3 linked regions of the Drosophila melanogaster genome follow. The gene in region 1 interacts genetically with each later gene. Each region holds a gene or a part of one and is shown on either strand. Other genes may lie near its edges.

Evidence for each region.
Region 2: of Mocs1 (region 1) and cin, changing one enhances a phenotype caused by changing the other (phenotypic enhancement), as found in Drosophila melanogaster (one study listed by BioGRID).
Region 3: of Mocs1 (region 1) and mal, changing one enhances a phenotype caused by changing the other (phenotypic enhancement), as found in Drosophila melanogaster (one study listed by BioGRID).

What each region holds. Positions count from the first base shown.
Region 1 is NT_037436.4:11,068,882-11,073,885, forward strand, and holds Mocs1 (molybdenum cofactor synthesis 1), read left to right. Parts: upstream 1-1,644; 5' UTR 1,645-1,933; coding exon 1,934-2,104; intron 2,105-2,169; coding exon 2,170-2,248; intron 2,249-2,677; coding exon 2,678-3,529; intron 3,530-3,588; coding exon of another isoform or gene 3,589-3,644; exon of another isoform or gene 3,645-3,680; coding exon 3,681-4,276; 3' UTR 4,277-4,467; downstream 4,468-5,004. Other genes in the region: CG6310 (uncharacterized protein), read right to left, coding at 250-425, 487-695, 767-963; Pfdn2 (prefoldin 2), read right to left, coding at 4,830-5,004. UniProt on the Drosophila melanogaster protein: Isoform Mocs1a and isoform Mocs1b probably form a complex that catalyzes the conversion of 5'-GTP to cyclic pyranopterin monophosphate (cPMP).
Region 2 is NC_004354.4:253,752-259,094, forward strand, and holds cin (cinnamon), read left to right. Parts: upstream 1-1,922; 5' UTR 1,923-2,042; coding exon 2,043-2,073; intron 2,074-2,129; coding exon 2,130-2,890; intron 2,891-3,010; coding exon 3,011-3,189; intron 3,190-3,247; coding exon 3,248-3,676; intron 3,677-3,728; coding exon 3,729-3,891; intron 3,892-4,230; coding exon 4,231-4,329; intron 4,330-4,390; coding exon 4,391-4,534; 3' UTR 4,535-4,718; downstream 4,719-5,343. Other genes in the region: CG42376 (uncharacterized protein), read left to right, coding at 1,318-1,596; CG13377 (uncharacterized protein), read right to left, coding at 4,854-5,077, 5,142-5,343. UniProt on the Drosophila melanogaster protein: Catalyzes two steps in the biosynthesis of the molybdenum cofactor. In the first step, molybdopterin is adenylated. Subsequently, molybdate is inserted into adenylated molybdopterin and AMP is released.
Region 3 is NC_004354.4:20,427,936-20,433,842, forward strand, and holds mal (maroon-like), read left to right. Parts: upstream 1-1,739; 5' UTR 1,740-2,318; coding exon 2,319-2,391; intron 2,392-2,462; coding exon 2,463-2,613; intron 2,614-2,808; coding exon 2,809-3,591; intron 3,592-3,652; coding exon 3,653-4,991; 3' UTR 4,992-5,275; downstream 5,276-5,907. Other genes in the region: CG11710 (uncharacterized protein), read right to left, coding at 1-59, 116-237, 298-764, 884-1,502, 1,568-1,635. UniProt on the Drosophila melanogaster protein: Sulfurates the molybdenum cofactor. Sulfation of molybdenum is essential for xanthine dehydrogenase (XDH) and aldehyde oxidase (ADO) enzymes in which molybdenum cofactor is liganded by 1 oxygen and 1 sulfur atom in active form.

The sequences.
Region 1 (5,004 bases):
GTGTTTTTTTTTTTTTAAATTATTTCAATACGCATTCAAAGTGTATTCAACAATTTTAAAGTAACGAAAGATATCGTTTTTAGAAGCAAGTACCGTGTAATTTTGTATCATCGTTAAATAAACACAGGGTTTACATTTAAAAACAAAGTATTGTGTGTGTTTTTTTTTTATTAGGAATTAAGATTATTGGTAGGTAAGTCAATTAGTTGTTTGCACATATGATTTAAATTTGAACTAGATCCTGGTATGCTATCCTCTCTGTTTTCCGAATATTATCGTTAAGTTGTGCATCACCGCCTGGCGCTGGAACTCCAGTTCCCGCCTACACATGCCGCCCAAGAGTGGTGGACACTGATACTGGATGTTCTCCTGGGCAAAGGTATCACCATTGGAGTTTCTGAACGTGAATTCACTCAGTGATTGTACTGCAATAGAGATTCATTTACGATTAGCGAGGGCATTCATATCACTTCCGTCTTATCTTACGGCAATAGAATCCGGCAAAGAAGCAAGTCTGATGCGTGGACTTAATGGCATAGGCCACGGGCGATACTCCGGGTAATGACTTGGTGACCACGTACTTGGCCGTAGCCGTATTCAGCCAGTATGGCCAATGGGATAGTCGCTCTGTGTACTGCACCGTGTAACGCCAGTCGTGGGCGTGGCCATGATCAGCTAGGATCTTGAAGTTTAAACTGTGTGTGATGGGGAAAATATCTGATTATCGTATAAACTGATTTAAGTTTGAAGAAAGAGTTTTCCTTACATGGTGGGATTGAGCAGACGCATCTTATTAAAATCCGCCACATACTCCCAGACCTTTTCCGGTTGACTCTGCTTGATAATGCCCTCGATCTGGTACTTCTGATAGCCACTGGAGAAAACGAAGACATAGAGGAGCAGGGCGGTGACGAGGAGCACCGATGCCCGCTTAATATTCGACAGGCGGGGTGTGTGCATCATGGATAACCGACGTCGACTGGCGATTATTGTGTGTATATATGGTGGACTGACTATTCGAATTTCAAATGAACATGTGCCACAGAATTCACCACAAAGATTTTGATAAACAAAAAGGCTTCTTATAAGTACAGTGGCGGCTGGAAAAGGGTATACATATATCTTTCTTCTTTCGTGGGGAGTTTTGTTGCTTTTGTTTTGTACACTATGGGGTTAAGACTTTCCTTTGAATAACAGTTTATAATGAACTGGTATAGCCTTAAACTTAAAAATTATAAGAAGGGCCTGTATTTATATGGTCTTTATATCTCGTATTTGATCATTTCTTATGTTTAAGTTTGGGTAAAATTTAAAAAAAAAAATTTTAAAAAGCAAACTAAGAATGTCAAAATTTAGATGCTTGAATGTTTATAACACTTGTAACTCTTTGCAAGGCATTACATCTGTATAGCAAATATTAATCATTTATTGTATACTGTACTAAAATAAATGAAATTAAACTCCATTCACTTATAAGTAAACTGCTGTCACTGCATCTTCATTTCTGCTAGGTTTTTTGCAGGTCAAAGCTCTGAAGCGTCAACCCCCTGGTGGCTCCCCCCCCCCCATACAATCAATCAACCGGCAAAAAATTTCAAATGCTGCCTAACACTGGCACTAGAACAAAAGCTTTGGCGAAAGCTGCGCTGGCAGCTCGTCCATATGATCGTCACTCTCAATTTAGTTTATAAACAACGCTCGCCGGCTGCAGTTGGAAACGGAGAGCGCGTAATCGGCGATATCAATTCGTAGGACATAGGACCGCCGTCAGCATATGTAATTGCTTATCACAGTCTGACTGTCCGAAATCGCTCCAGCGACAACAGATCCCCCAACAACTCGTGCCACCCCCCGCAAATTGCCGGCTTACGTAAGCCAATTGTATTCGTTTTAGCTGAGAGAACATCAATCAAAATACAAATAACAAAAAAACATGCGGCTATTGGCCAGACACGCGATTCGATTGCTGGGTCAGGAGAATAGCGCGGGCGAGGTGGCTTCACTTTCGAGAGGAGCAATCCGGCTGAAGGCCACAACCGGTTACCTCAATCTGGCCACGGCAAGTGTTCAGCCATTGGAGCCGGAGAAACAGGTGCTGAGAAAGGTGAGTACTCCATTTGGTGGGCACAAAGTTTCCGTATCGATTTCGCTAATCGAAAATTTAACCAGAATTCGCCACTCACGGACTCCTTTGGCCGGCATCACACCTATTTGAGAATTTCTCTAACCGAACGCTGCAATCTGCGATGTAAGTAAACCAACCACCTATGTTTTCGACCCTTATCAGTTTGCCCTGTTATTGTTTTACCTATTTGATAATACTCGCAGTGAAGTGGATCCCAGCCTTGATTGAATAATGTGGCGAAATTCGTGTCTTACACACGCACAACTGCGGTCAACATAATAGTTATGGAGTCCAACCATATCAGCCAATTGTTGACAAATTAGAGCAGATGGTCTAATTTCATTTGTAGCTGCTATTATAATCAGATAATTTTGGCGACATTAACAACGTTTCTGATTTCGATTACTGATAGATAGCAAACCCCCCATTGATATTAGATAATTTAATGTTCTTAACTTGAATTCGAGAAACTTCCATGATACTCTTCAGTTAACTTTTATTAAATTCCAATTGGAAAATTCTATTATAACTATAATGTGGTCATATTTTCAGGCGACTACTGCATGCCCGCTGAAGGCGTTCCGCTACAGCCGAAAAACAAACTCCTGACCACCGAGGAAATCCTTCGTCTAGCTCGAATTTTCGTGGAGCAGGGAGTGCGAAAGATCCGCTTGACCGGCGGAGAGCCAACTGTGCGCAGGGATATCGTAGAGATAGTGGCACAAATGAAAGCACTACCCGAACTGGAGCAAATCGGAATTACCACCAATGGCCTGGTGCTGACACGCCTGCTGTTGCCGCTCCAGAGAGCTGGACTAGATAACCTGAACATCAGTCTGGATACGCTGAAAAGGGATCGCTTTGAGAAGATCACCAGGCGAAAAGGATGGGAGCGGGTGATAGCCGGCATTGATTTAGCTGTCCAATTGGGCTATCGCCCCAAGGTGAACTGCGTCCTTATGCGGGATTTCAACGAGGATGAAATCTGTGATTTTGTTGAGTTCACCAGGAATCGTCCGGTAGATGTGCGGTTCATAGAGTACATGCCATTCTCCGGAAACAAGTGGCATACAGAGAGGCTCATTTCGTATAAAGATACCCTGCAAATCATTCGACAAAGGTGGCCAGACTTCAAGGCCCTTCCCAATGGACCTAATGACACTTCTAAAGCCTATGCAGTTCCGGGATTTAAGGGTCAGGTCGGTTTCATCACCTCCATGACGGAACACTTTTGTGGTACCTGCAATAGATTGCGACTCACTGCGGATGGAAACATAAAGGTGTGCTTGTTTGGCAACAAAGAGTTCTCGTTGAGAGATGCCATGCGAGATGAGAGTGTTAGCGAGGAACAGTTGGTGGATCTCATTGGAGCAGCCGTCCAGCGTAAGAAGAAACAGCATGCAGGTGAGTTTCGATTCCGAATGAAACGTAGAAAGTCTTCAGAACTTGGTACTCCTTCGCAGGCATGCTGAACCTGTCGCAGATGGAGAACCGGCCCATGATACTCATTGGCGGCTAGTAGACACACCACACTCTCTCCCCTCTCCCGTTGCAGATGCTGCGCCAAGACTCCATCATCATCTTCATCCTTATTCGTATCACCACGCATATCATACTTCAAGGCTGCAGCTTCAGGCCCGAAATTACAGCCAACTCACCCATGTCGATGGCCAGGGCAAGGCCCAAATGGTGGATGTGGGCGCAAAACCTTCGACCACAAGATTAGCTCGTGCAGAGGCCACCGTTCAGGTGGGTGAGAAACTTACCCAACTTATAGCCGACAATCAAGTGGCCAAGGGAGATGTTCTAACCGTAGCCCAAATTGCTGGCATAATGGGCGCTAAGCGAACCGCCGAACTGATACCCCTGTGTCACAACATCAGCTTGTCCTCCGTGAAAGTGCAGGCCACTCTTCTGAAAACCGAACAATCTGTGCGGCTGGAGGCAACCGTTCGCTGCTCGGGCCAAACTGGAGTCGAGATGGAGGCACTAACTGCAGTTTCAGTGGCCGCTTTAACTGTGTACGACATGTGCAAGGCTGTTTCTCACGATATCTGCATCACAAATGTCCGCCTGCTAAGCAAATCCGGCGGAAAAAGGGACTTCCAGAGGGAGGAGCCGCAAAATGGGATAGTTACAGAAGTCGAATAAGTCGAATACCCGACTAACCGGATTAACCACGATACGGGGAATGGAAAATAAACTACTGCTTACTTGATTTAGCCACAAATATTAAATTAAAAGACTTATGAAGCAAGAATACATAAGTGTAAAAATGTAGATGAAATCACTTCCTTATAGGAAACTAATTTGACTAACATACCAATAAAATGTTTCAGAACAAATGGCATAAAAGGGATAAATAATCATATAGTTTATATAGTTTTTGTTTCCAGTCGGTGGATAGAGGTCCATCCATTTTCAGATCTTGAATGAATCACAAGACACATGACTAATTTCAATCGGAAGTTTAAGGTATCTTTAATTCGTGGCCAGAGTGGGTTAAGTTTAAATGAGGGGAATTGATGGATAGTGTTGGTGTGAAGGTGCGATTGGAGGCGTTTCGCGAACTGCGCCTTACAGCTAGAAGTACATACAACATTAGAAGTGTTCAATAAACGCGGATTATCGCTCGCAAATCCTGGCAGAGTTCCCTCTCAACATAGACACAATAAATACGGTGTGGTGAGGTAATCAATCGCTCTCAGTTGAACACCAGGACATTACGGTTCTCCGCCTTGTCCTCCGCATCGTCGCCCTTGGCTCCTTCGGCAACCAAGTGTTCGCCGCGAATCTTGATATTGTGCTCCTCCTTGAACTTGTTCAGCTCACTGCCCTTTTTGCTCAGGTCATTGGTGACCATTTGGATGGTCTTGGCG
Region 2 (5,343 bases), on another chromosome or scaffold:
TGGAGGAAAGACCATCTAGTCATAAGAATGAAGGAGACAAAGTATTTCCATAGAAAAGAGAAAAAAAATTTTTTTTAATAGAAGTAGTCGGTTTTTTTTTTTAATTTGTATGAGCTCTGGAGCATACATATGTAAATACGTGATACGAAAAAGTAATACGTTTGATTTTACCGTTAACCATGAAAATTAGACCGTTTAAATTGACCTGTAATGGGCAACTAAATGTTACTCGCAACCAAAAGTAAAGGAGGAATTATTTAGCAAAAAAAAAAAACATTGTCTATATTATGGATTACATGTTTTGTGCAGGGTGAAGTACATACATACCCCCAATTGATTACCACTCTACCAATCCCATCAAATCTGAAGTCTATCACGTATACAAATTTTTCAGTTTGCTAAGCAAGCCAAGCCACAAGTGCCTAAAAGAAAATTATTTCTTACCCGGTTGCCCTTTAGGATAACCCTAATTTTACTATAAAGCAATATAGTTTTTTTAGGCTGTAAATGTTAACGCGGGGTTTGTATGTGTAATTAACTTTGTCTGTTTAAAACGGCAACATGTAATTTAAGTCGCAAGATTTTCCGTTTCAGCAACAAAGTCATAGGTCACCGAAAGGCGCTTCTTTGATTTTCTGCTGGCATTTTTATCCATATTTATGTAACCACGACAAGAGTAATGATGAAAATATATTTATACAGATCAGTGTCCCTTGGCGGTATTAACTGTTACGGCTGACAGTTTAAGCTGTCATCTTAATGCATTTGTTTTTTGTTTTTCTTTTGCAATAAAATTTGTAAGTTTTACGCATAATTGAAAGAATAGGTATGCAAGGAGTCATTTTTCGAGTGCAGCTACGTTAATGTTTAACCATAAAATATTGAATTGATTAAATTCGCCATAAATAGCACAGCAGAAACGGTGCAAACAATAAACAAATATTATCGTGTGCAGTTAAAATTGACTTTTTAATGCGGCTCCATTTTTGGGTCGGTGTTTACTATTTGATCAAGGGCTTAAATATTTTTGTCTTAATACGAAAAAACGCACAGATTTGGTAAAGGCTTAACTTAAAATTTCAGCGCCCAATCACCCCCTTCAGAGTTGCCACACGTTGTTACACTAAGTTATCGAAACGAACAGCTGATTTTTGTTTTGTAATATTTGAGGTTGGTTTTTGTTGGCTGAAATATTATTACATTAAATTAGATATGGACCTTTTACTTCAAAGCGTTTGACAAGTTGAACATCAAACGGAAATCTATTATAGCCCCAATTGGCGAGACCATCAAATAATCATTGGAAAACAACCTGAGATGAGTTTTCCAGACAAGGCGGAGCGCAAAAAGTGCTGGAACAACCGGGACGAGTATTGGAAATGTCTCGAGGAGCACGCCCCAAAGCACAGTTCTACCAGTGGGGAAAAGGTACCAACCCCCTGCCAGAGTCTTCGCAAATCATTTGAGCAATCCTGCCCTGGTCAATGGGTAAAGCACTTCGACCGCAAGCGTACTTATGACCAGTTTAAGGAAAAAATGGCCCAGGGTTATGATCCCTTGGAGGACCGTACGAAGGCCGAGAAGCAAGCCAATTAACCCTTAACCCGCCAAGAGTTCTAGGAGTACTGTTGACCAGTTTATACCCGTGTTTGTGTACTTTTTATGGTAAATAAATAAACTATATAATAACTACAAAGAAACCACATTTACAATATATGTATGTACATATGCATTAATGGCAGATGGTACTAAGCATGTCCTAACTTGTCTTCTAAATTGTGGATTGATTTCGTATATACTTTGAAAATAAAGCTAAAAAGTAGTGGCTTATTAATTTATATTTATTTATTTCTCGACATGACATGCCCATTGTGGGGTTAATATTTCTGTTTCTGTAATCAGTGTTCCCACTCCAGAGTTCTTTACTGAATTATCGATAACTAGAAGCAAAATGGTTGCATGCATATTAATTTATGTATTGTAGTTTACAATTTAATTGAGTATCGTCAGTGGTTGCAGCTGGAAACGGTGTAGTTAACGTAATGGAATCGATTACCTTTGGAGTTTTGACTAGTATGTGGGCTTTTATCCCCATAGACTTCTACTTTTCATGATTTTTATACCCCTAGTTAGCGACACATGTTGGCAGGAGCCGGAGAAAGATACAAGTGGTCCTATATTGAGACAACTTATCGGTGAAACCTTTGCTAATACCCAGGTGATTGGAAACATAGTTCCGGACGAAAAGGATATCATACAGCAAGAGCTACGTAAATGGATCGATCGGGAGGAGCTGAGAGTGATTCTGACTACCGGAGGAACGGGATTTGCACCACGGGATGTGACCCCAGAGGCCACGAGGCAGCTACTAGAAAAGGAATGCCCACAACTCTCCATGTATATTACACTGGAGTCCATCAAACAAACCCAATATGCGGCTCTTTCCCGCGGACTCTGTGGCATTGCAGGAAATACTCTCATCTTAAACCTTCCTGGTAGCGAAAAGGCCGTAAAAGAGTGTTTCCAGACCATTAGTGCACTTTTGCCTCACGCTGTTCACCTTATAGGTGACGATGTGTCCCTGGTGCGGAAAACACATGCTGAGGTCCAAGGATCCGCCCAAAAGAGCCACATTTGTCCTCACAAAACCGGAACTGGTACAGATTCTGATCGGAATTCACCCTATCCAATGCTGCCCGTTCAAGAAGTGCTTTCAATTATCTTTAACACGGTACAAAAGACCGCCAATCTGAACAAAATTCTGTTGGAAATGAACGCGCCGGTTAACATTCCGCCCTTTAGGGCTTCCATCAAGGATGGCTATGCCATGAAGTCCACTGGATTTTCTGGCACTAAGCGTGTTTTGGGATGCATAGCCGCCGGAGATTCAGTAAGTTTCGATTTTATTTGTAGTGGTAATCTATATAAGCAGGAGGGAACGAGAGTAAATGTTTAATGGAAGTTTAAAATCCTGTCTCGATTTTTAAACACACTTCCCATTCGTTTTCAGCCTAATTCTTTGCCGCTGGCAGAGGATGAGTGCTACAAAATTAACACAGGGGCACCATTACCCCTGGAGGCAGATTGCGTAGTGCAAGTGGAGGACACCAAGTTGCTGCAGTTAGATAAGAACGGCCAGGAAAGCCTTGTTGACATTTTGGTGGAGCCACAAGCTGGATTAGATGTTAGGTATGTATTGCGAAATATCAAAGACAAACCAAATAAAACATTTGATTTATTTCCTTAGGCCTGTGGGCTACGATCTAAGCACCAATGATCGAATTTTTCCTGCTCTAGATCCTTCTCCCGTGGTGGTCAAATCGCTGCTGGCTTCCGTGGGCAATAGGTTGATACTATCGAAGCCTAAGGTGGCTATAGTGTCCACTGGAAGTGAGCTGTGTTCACCGCGCAATCAGCTTACTCCGGGAAAGATCTTTGACTCAAATACCACCATGTTGACCGAGCTTCTGGTTTACTTTGGCTTTAACTGCATGCATACGTGTGTGCTAAGCGATAGCTTTCAGAGGACTAAGGAATCTCTATTGGAGCTCTTCGAGGTGGTGGACTTTGTCATTTGCAGCGGTGGTGTCTCAATGGGCGATAAGGATTTCGTAAAGTCCGTGTTGGAGGACCTTCAATTTAGGATTCACTGCGGCCGAGTAAACATAAAGCCAGGGTAATATTGTCTCCCTCAACGCTTAGTGCTATATTTATCTTGTGTTCCTCAGGAAGCCCATGACTTTTGCCAGTCGGAAAGATAAGTACTTCTTTGGTCTGCCCGGAAACCCAGTTTCAGCATTCGTTACTTTTCATCTGTTCGCGCTGCCCGCAATACGCTTTGCTGCTGGCTGGGATCGCTGCAAGTGCTCCCTTTCTGTGCTTAACGTTAAGGTAGGTTCCAATCCAATTTAACCACATAGTGAATTTGTGAATGGCGACAGACTTTTACGATTGAAGGTAGTTATATCTTGGCAATCATCAATCAAAGTGAGGACTAAAGATTGCTCTCGAAATTGCTGGAATGTTTCCGTCACCATACTTCTTTGGAAGCTATTAATAGGAAATAGTTTGACAAATTACAGATTTTTTAATGGAAAAGATTTTATAACATTTAAATTAGAATCAACAGGAGTATCTCCTTTCCGTATATGTACATTAAAGTGCTCATACGTAAAATGAAGAAAAAGCCACTTAAAATTTTGAATAATTTCTTAATATATTTTCTTTTAGTTGCTTAATGACTTCAGCTTAGATAGCCGCCCGGAGTTCGTTCGGGCCTCCGTGATTTCGAAGTCTGGAGAGTTATACGCGAGCGTCAATGGAAATCAAGTAAGCCACTTTTCCTTAAATTAAACGACATATTATGACGGTTTTCCTGCGATTATTCTAGATTAGTAGTCGCTTGCAGAGCATTGTTGGTGCCGATGTTTTAATAAACCTTCCTGCACGTACTTCTGATCGACCATTGGCGAAAGCTGGTGAAATTTTCCCGGCCTCCGTGTTGCGCTTTGACTTTATCTCGAAGTACGAATAAGAACTACACAAACGTAAAATGTAAAACAAAGGTATAAATTCCAGAAGTTGGACAGACATATATAGACAGCACATATATTATCTTTATTTTTTTATGTATGATAACATTAAATATAACGTTCAACAATTACACCGTTAGCAGTGTGAGCAAAAACGATTAAAAAGTAAATATTATAAAAGCCCTCAGAACAGAAAAAAGAAACATCAATCGAAATATATTGTAAAAATATTAAATTAGGGAAAGGAGCAGGATCAGACGCGTTATACTAAATGGGATCAGGATCAGGAGCATATGTACAGGAAATGGAAGAAGACAAATTTTAAACCGACTGACTGGCGCTCTCGCCGACTGTTGAAGCTACCGGCCTCTGAAGTCGCAGCGAGGAGCGACATGGCAACGCAAATTGGTATTTGTTATGACTTAGAAGCGCATATCGCTGCTGCGGAACATAGTCCCACAACGCCCGCTCGATCACATGAAGAGCGTCCGGACTGAGCACGTCCGCTGTATACTGCGTAGGAGCCCCAACGACCAAGGACATGGCTGAAATAAATTACAAACATAAAATTATATATAATTGATTCCCAACGATGATGGAAAACATTACTTTGTGCCACTGGTGCCTTGTACAATGACTCCGCCGTCATGCCGCATGTATCCAAAGCGACCACACTGACGCCATAGGGATGCAGCTCCTTGCGCAGCTCTTCGGCACACTTGTCTACGGCAACGCGTGAGGCGTTAAAGGCAACCAGTCCATCACCTTCGTTTCGAGCATTTCCACCTCCACTTACTCCTCCCAAGTAAAG
Region 3 (5,907 bases), on another chromosome or scaffold:
GTGGACGCAGCCTAGCAGACTGCTTGTGGGATAATGACTTGGAAACTTAATGTCGGGATCTGCGATTACAATTATATGTTATTGCTGAGAGTTAGTGGTAAGAGCTCAAGTTTACCGCCGTAGAGCACCTTGTAAAAGCCCTCCATTTGCGCAATGTCTTCGGCGTGCGGCTCCTTGGAAGTGGAGGCGATCCACAGTCTACCACGGTGCTCGCTGTACCACACTCGACCCTCGTGTCTGTTGGAAAAATGTCATTAGATATAGGAAATCTGGAAATGCGCCTTCACAACCACCCACTTCTTAATGCCCGCCACTAGAAGCGAAGCCCAGGGCTGATGCATCGACAGACACTGGCGCATGTCCTGCATTTCCAGCAGCTCCTTGTCCTGCACCCGATTGTAGGTCCTCTCCAGCCAATCGCTGCCTGCTGCAGGAGCTGGCCAACTCTTGGATTCCTTACTGGGCTTGTAGACCGGCGGCTTGGTCATGTTCAAATGTGGTGCCAGTGTCAAGGCGGAGTGGCCGGTGACCGAGGATGCACTCCAGTTGGATCCAACACCCGAGGCTTTAGAAACGGCTGCTAGTTCGCTGATCACCTGCTGCTCGTACTCTTTGGAGATGGTCGGTTCCTCCGGCAACTCTCGGCCAGCGAAGTCCACCCGGATCTTCCGCTTCATGCGACTGCCGTGCTTTACCTCCTCCATTTCTCGGTGCAGTTTCTCAAACTTTTCGCGCTCAGCGTCGCTCAGCCACACGGAGTTCTCCTAAAAATTAATTATATTAGTTCAAAACGTTGATGCATAATAAACTATAGCTGAAGCAAGCTTATCTTCTTTGAATAAGTAATGATTTCAAAAATTGTTTTGAATAAGAGTAAGCCCACCTGAAAGTAGTCCAGCTCATCGTCGATAACTGTGGTCCTCTTCTCGCTGTTCTTGTCGTACTCCAGCAGACGATCCCTTTGGGCCAAGGCCTTGTCCAGCGCCTGCGTGGACAGTTCCTTGGTGGATTTTTTGCCCTGCTTGGCGGCGCTCTTCGTGCCGCCCTTCTCCCTGGCCGCCTTGGCCAGCTGCTGCTCCTCCTCGGGCGTGCGCACGGGATCGCCGCAGCTCAAGCAAGGGCCGCTTCCCTCCTGCTCGCACACGATCCGGCCGCAGCCCAGGCAATTGTTGATCAACTTGTGCTGGCCCGCCTGGCAATCGCAATGCCGCCGACCCTTAAGAATTATGGTGTCGCCCTGGACGCGACCATCGCTGGCGTACAGATTCACGTGTTTCCCTGACTTGCCCTTGGCACCCTTGCTGATATTTTGCTTGGGACAATTGGGTGATGTGGGTGCCAGAGGGGGCGAGAGATATTTTCCATTGTTCCGCGGCTGTTTGCCACTCAGTAGCATCCGGCGACAGTTTACAAGAAACATGCGGTGCTCCTCGTTGTCCTCGCTCAGTAAATTGCCAAAGTAGTTGTCGAATTCATAGTCGTCTTTGATGTTCAGTATGGCCCTGGAAGGGAATATGAAGCCATTGAGAAACTCATTTGCTCGTATCTGGATGCATCATGTACTTACGCCAACATCTGATCCGTGATTACACAGTCCAGACATTTGGACAACGTGCCCCGCAGGAAATTCTCCATTTCGCAGTCCCAAAGTTTGCCAACTGCTTACAATTGTGAAATAAAAAGGTAAAAACTTTAAAAAATCAACGCAGGCTGTTATCGGCCCCCGATATCGATGTAAATCGAATAATCAGCTGTATGTGTAGGCTATCGTCTAGATGTGAAAACGAATTTAATGTTCTGTAGTTAAAAAACATTTTATAAATGTTTTAAATAATAAGATTGTAGTTTCCAAAAATTATTGTCATACAATTGGCCAATTAGCCATTAGCAACCATTTTCCTAACACCAATTGTTTGCCAACACTCAGAACATATGTTTGAATAGCCATGCAAAGTGCACAACGACTAGTTAATACCGTACAATTTGAGTTTAAAATTCTATGCAATTCAGAGTTAATAATTGGAAAAGATTTGGTAAAATGCTACATCTATAATATTGGTGAGCAGTGTGAGAATATGATATATATATTACAATAAGCAAACATAATGCACAAGAAGCTTAATAAATTGAGCTTCGTAAAATGTGTAGGGTGGAGTAAGTTCAAAGAGAAGTCAAAGCAAATGCTCAACTGAACGTGATAGTTGATGTATACTGTCCGTGGCTTTTTCCAGCGAAGAAGAGTATGGCGCAACAAATGCAAGCCGGTCGCAAATAAATAAAGCCCGCTTTGCAGCCAACACGAATAGTTAGTTCCCAACATGACATCATATCGGCCGGAGTTCTCCGCATCGGAGCAGTCGCAAATAGACGCGGAATTCTCTAGATTGGCCAGTAAGTGGAGAACCATGGTGAAATACCCAGCGCAAACAGATAACGAACCTAACTATCCGTCTATCGAACAGGCAACAAGAGTGTTTACCTGGATCATGCGGGCACCACTCTCTATGCCGAGAGCCAGGTGACGGCCGCCGCGGAGCAACTGCAGCGCAATGTCATCTGCAATCCGCACACCTGCCGCCTCACCGGCGACTTCGTCGACCAGGTGCGATTCAAGTGAGTTCATCCGTGTCCACGAGCCAAAACAACCATTCTCCCCCTGTCATTGGGTTGCCCTTGTGTGGCGCTTTTATTAATAATTATTTATGTGCATATAGCAATATCGTAAAATATCCTTATGTCGCTGCTTATCTTCCTCATTTGTGGTTAAGTTGTTTTTAGTAAAACTTCTATTCATATACACTTTTTTAGAATACTGGAATTCTTTAACACCACCGCCGAAGATTACCATGTGATATTCACGGCGAATGCCACCGCTGCTTTGTCCCTGGTGGCGGAAAACTTTGACTTTGGATCCTCTGGTGAGTTTCACTTCTGCCAGGAGAACCACACCTCAGTGCTGGGAATGCGGGAAAGGGTCCGGGAAAACGGTATATACATGCTGAGGGAGAATGAAATCTCTGGCGGAAAGCACAAGGCGAACGGGAAAGTTCACGAGGTGTCCGGAAAAACAGGAAACTCCTTGCTGACCTTTTCGGCCCAATGCAACTTTAGTGGTTACAAAATCCCACTGGAAGTCATTGAGCAAATCCAAATCGATGGCTTGGCCAAGCCGGGAAAAGAGCTTTGGAGCTCTTTGGGAGAGAAGAAGAAGAATATGCACAACGATTACTATATCTGCCTGGATGCGGCGTCTTTTGTGGCCACCAGTCCGTTGGATCTGCAAAAGTATAGACCAGATTACGTGTGCCTTAGTTTCTACAAGATCTTCGGTTATCCCACGGGCGTGGGAGCCCTGCTCGTGAGTCGACGAGGAGCCGAGGTCTTCCAGAAGCGCCGCTTTTTTGGCGGTGGTACCATCAACTACGCATATCCGCATGCCATGGATTACCAGCTGAGAGAGACCTTCCATCAGCGCTACGAGGACGGCACCCTGCCATTCCTCTCCATTGTCGGGTTGCTCGAGGGCTTTCGAACGCTGGAGAGATTGGTGCCCAGAACGGACGAGTTTAGCACCATGGAGAGGATTTCCAGGTGATTAGATAATGATAAGTCTGATGACTTCAGCCTTATTTTCCAATCATTGTATTTTCAGACACGTCTTTGGTCTGGCCAAGTATCTGGAGGATCAGCTGCGCCAGCTGCATCATCCCAATGGTGAGCCCCTCGTGAAGCTGTACAATAAAGTGGGCTACCAAGACAAATCCCGGCAGGGTGGCATCGTGGCCTTTAACGTGCGCACTGAATCGGGTTCGTTTGTGGGATTCGGCGAGATCGCCTGTGTGGCTGCTCTGCACGGAATACTCCTGCGGACTGGTTGCTTCTGCAACATCGGAGCCTGCCAATATTACCTAGGCCTCGATGAAGATGCTTTGGATGCGATTTACAAGCGAGCAGGTCGCATATGCGGCGACTACTTTGATCTGATCGATGGACAGCCGACGGGAGCGGTACGGGTATCTTTTGGCTATATGACAACTATTCAGGACGTAGACAAGCTGCTCCAGATGCTGCGCTCCAGTTATTTGGCAACCAAGCCGCTGCAGCGGATTCAGTTCATCGAGGAGCAGGCGGAGCAATTGCCGCCGTTGCTGAAGGAGCGAGTCCAGCTCTTGAGGCCAAAACTATTGCAGATGGCCATATATCCGGTAAAGTCTTGTGCCGCCTTTAAGATCGAATTACCGGGCTCCTGGCCATTGACGGATCAAGGTTTGAAATATGACCGTGAGTGGATGATCGTGGACATGAATGGCATGGCGTTGACCCAGAAACGCTGCACGGAGTTGTGCCTAATTAGGCCAGTGATTAAGGTTGACCAATTGGAGCTGCAGTTTGGAGAAAATTCCACCATCTCGGTGCCCCTTTCTCTGGATGACCAGGCAGCCGACACAGCAAAATGCGTAAGCAAGGTGTGCCGACAGCCCGTGGAAGGTTTGGATTGCGGCGATAGGGTTGCCCAGTGGTTAAGCGAAAACCTCGGCATGGAGGGCCTCCGTTTGCTTCGACAATCGGGCCAGAGAAACTCTTCCAAGGATCAGCAGAAGCTAAGTCTGGTTAATCAGGCCCAGTTCTTGCTGCTAAACAAGTCTTCCGTGCGATCGCTTCAATTTGAAGAGCCCCTCGACGAGACTGTGGATCGTTTTCGGGCAAATATCATCATCGACACGGGCAGTGCCTTTGAGGAGCTTACCTACAAGGCCCTGTCCATTGGGGGAATCCAATTTCAGGTGGAGGGTCCCTGCCAGCGCTGCGACATGATCTGCATTAACCAAAGGACAGGCGAACGGTCGCCAGAAACCTTGACCACCATATCCCGCCTGCAGAAGGGTCGCATGCGATTCGGCATCTACATCACTAGGATCCCCCAGGACACAAAAGAACTGGAACCCAAGGAGCAACACATGACCTGCGGCGATGTTGTCCTTGTGGAATAAGCTCACTTTACATCACTTCAGCGTGGTTTTCTTCGTTCTTTGGTTCGTTGACCCGAAATGTTTCTATTGTACATAGTTTTAGCACAATATTCACTAAGTAATTCTCTATTACGTTGCATCACGTTTCGCACTTAGTTTGTTTTTTAAGTACTTCTGAAATAGGAATACGCAAACATTCTTAAAGAAACATTCAGGATAGCTTAAGTTCAAAGTAACCGGATACCTCTTGCCAGTGTCTTAAGCCTTTAAAAGGCCTTAATTGCAAAATAAACACATTGAAATCGATATGTATATACTTGAGTTCTTAGGAAGGGTAATCGAACGTAAATAACGCAACGGCGTAAATAAATGCCGATTTGAATCCAGGCGCCCATTTGAAGAAGTGACGAGCAGGGCTACCAACGAATCATGGAAAGCAAATTTAGCACAAGTTGCTTAACATCAATAATGATAATAATGAATAAAAAGCATCGCGATATCATAACTTCATATCACAACATATCATAAAAATTAATGATTATATTTTCTTGAAACTGTTAAAGTCTATTAAATTACCAAGGCTTGAAAGTGGTGAGGGAGTTTGTATCAATACTCCAAAAATGGCATGGAAGCATTTTCTTTCATTCATTGATTTAGGACATCCTTCTATCTTAAAGCTGTACGGATTAATTGGTACCTTGTTTTTTGGGCTTAGGTAGAGCTTTTATGGTCTATTTATTTGTTATATAAAGCAAACCTAAGATTGAAAACTGCAGCAAATTAACTGTTGAGACCAGTAACATCCGATCTACAGCTCGTAAAATTCATATTTGAAAGAGATACTAGATAGATATTTTTCCATTAACGTACAATACTATAATTTTCCATGGGCTGACAACCCTGTTTTGAAATTCCTGCCCATCGATAGGCAGACAGT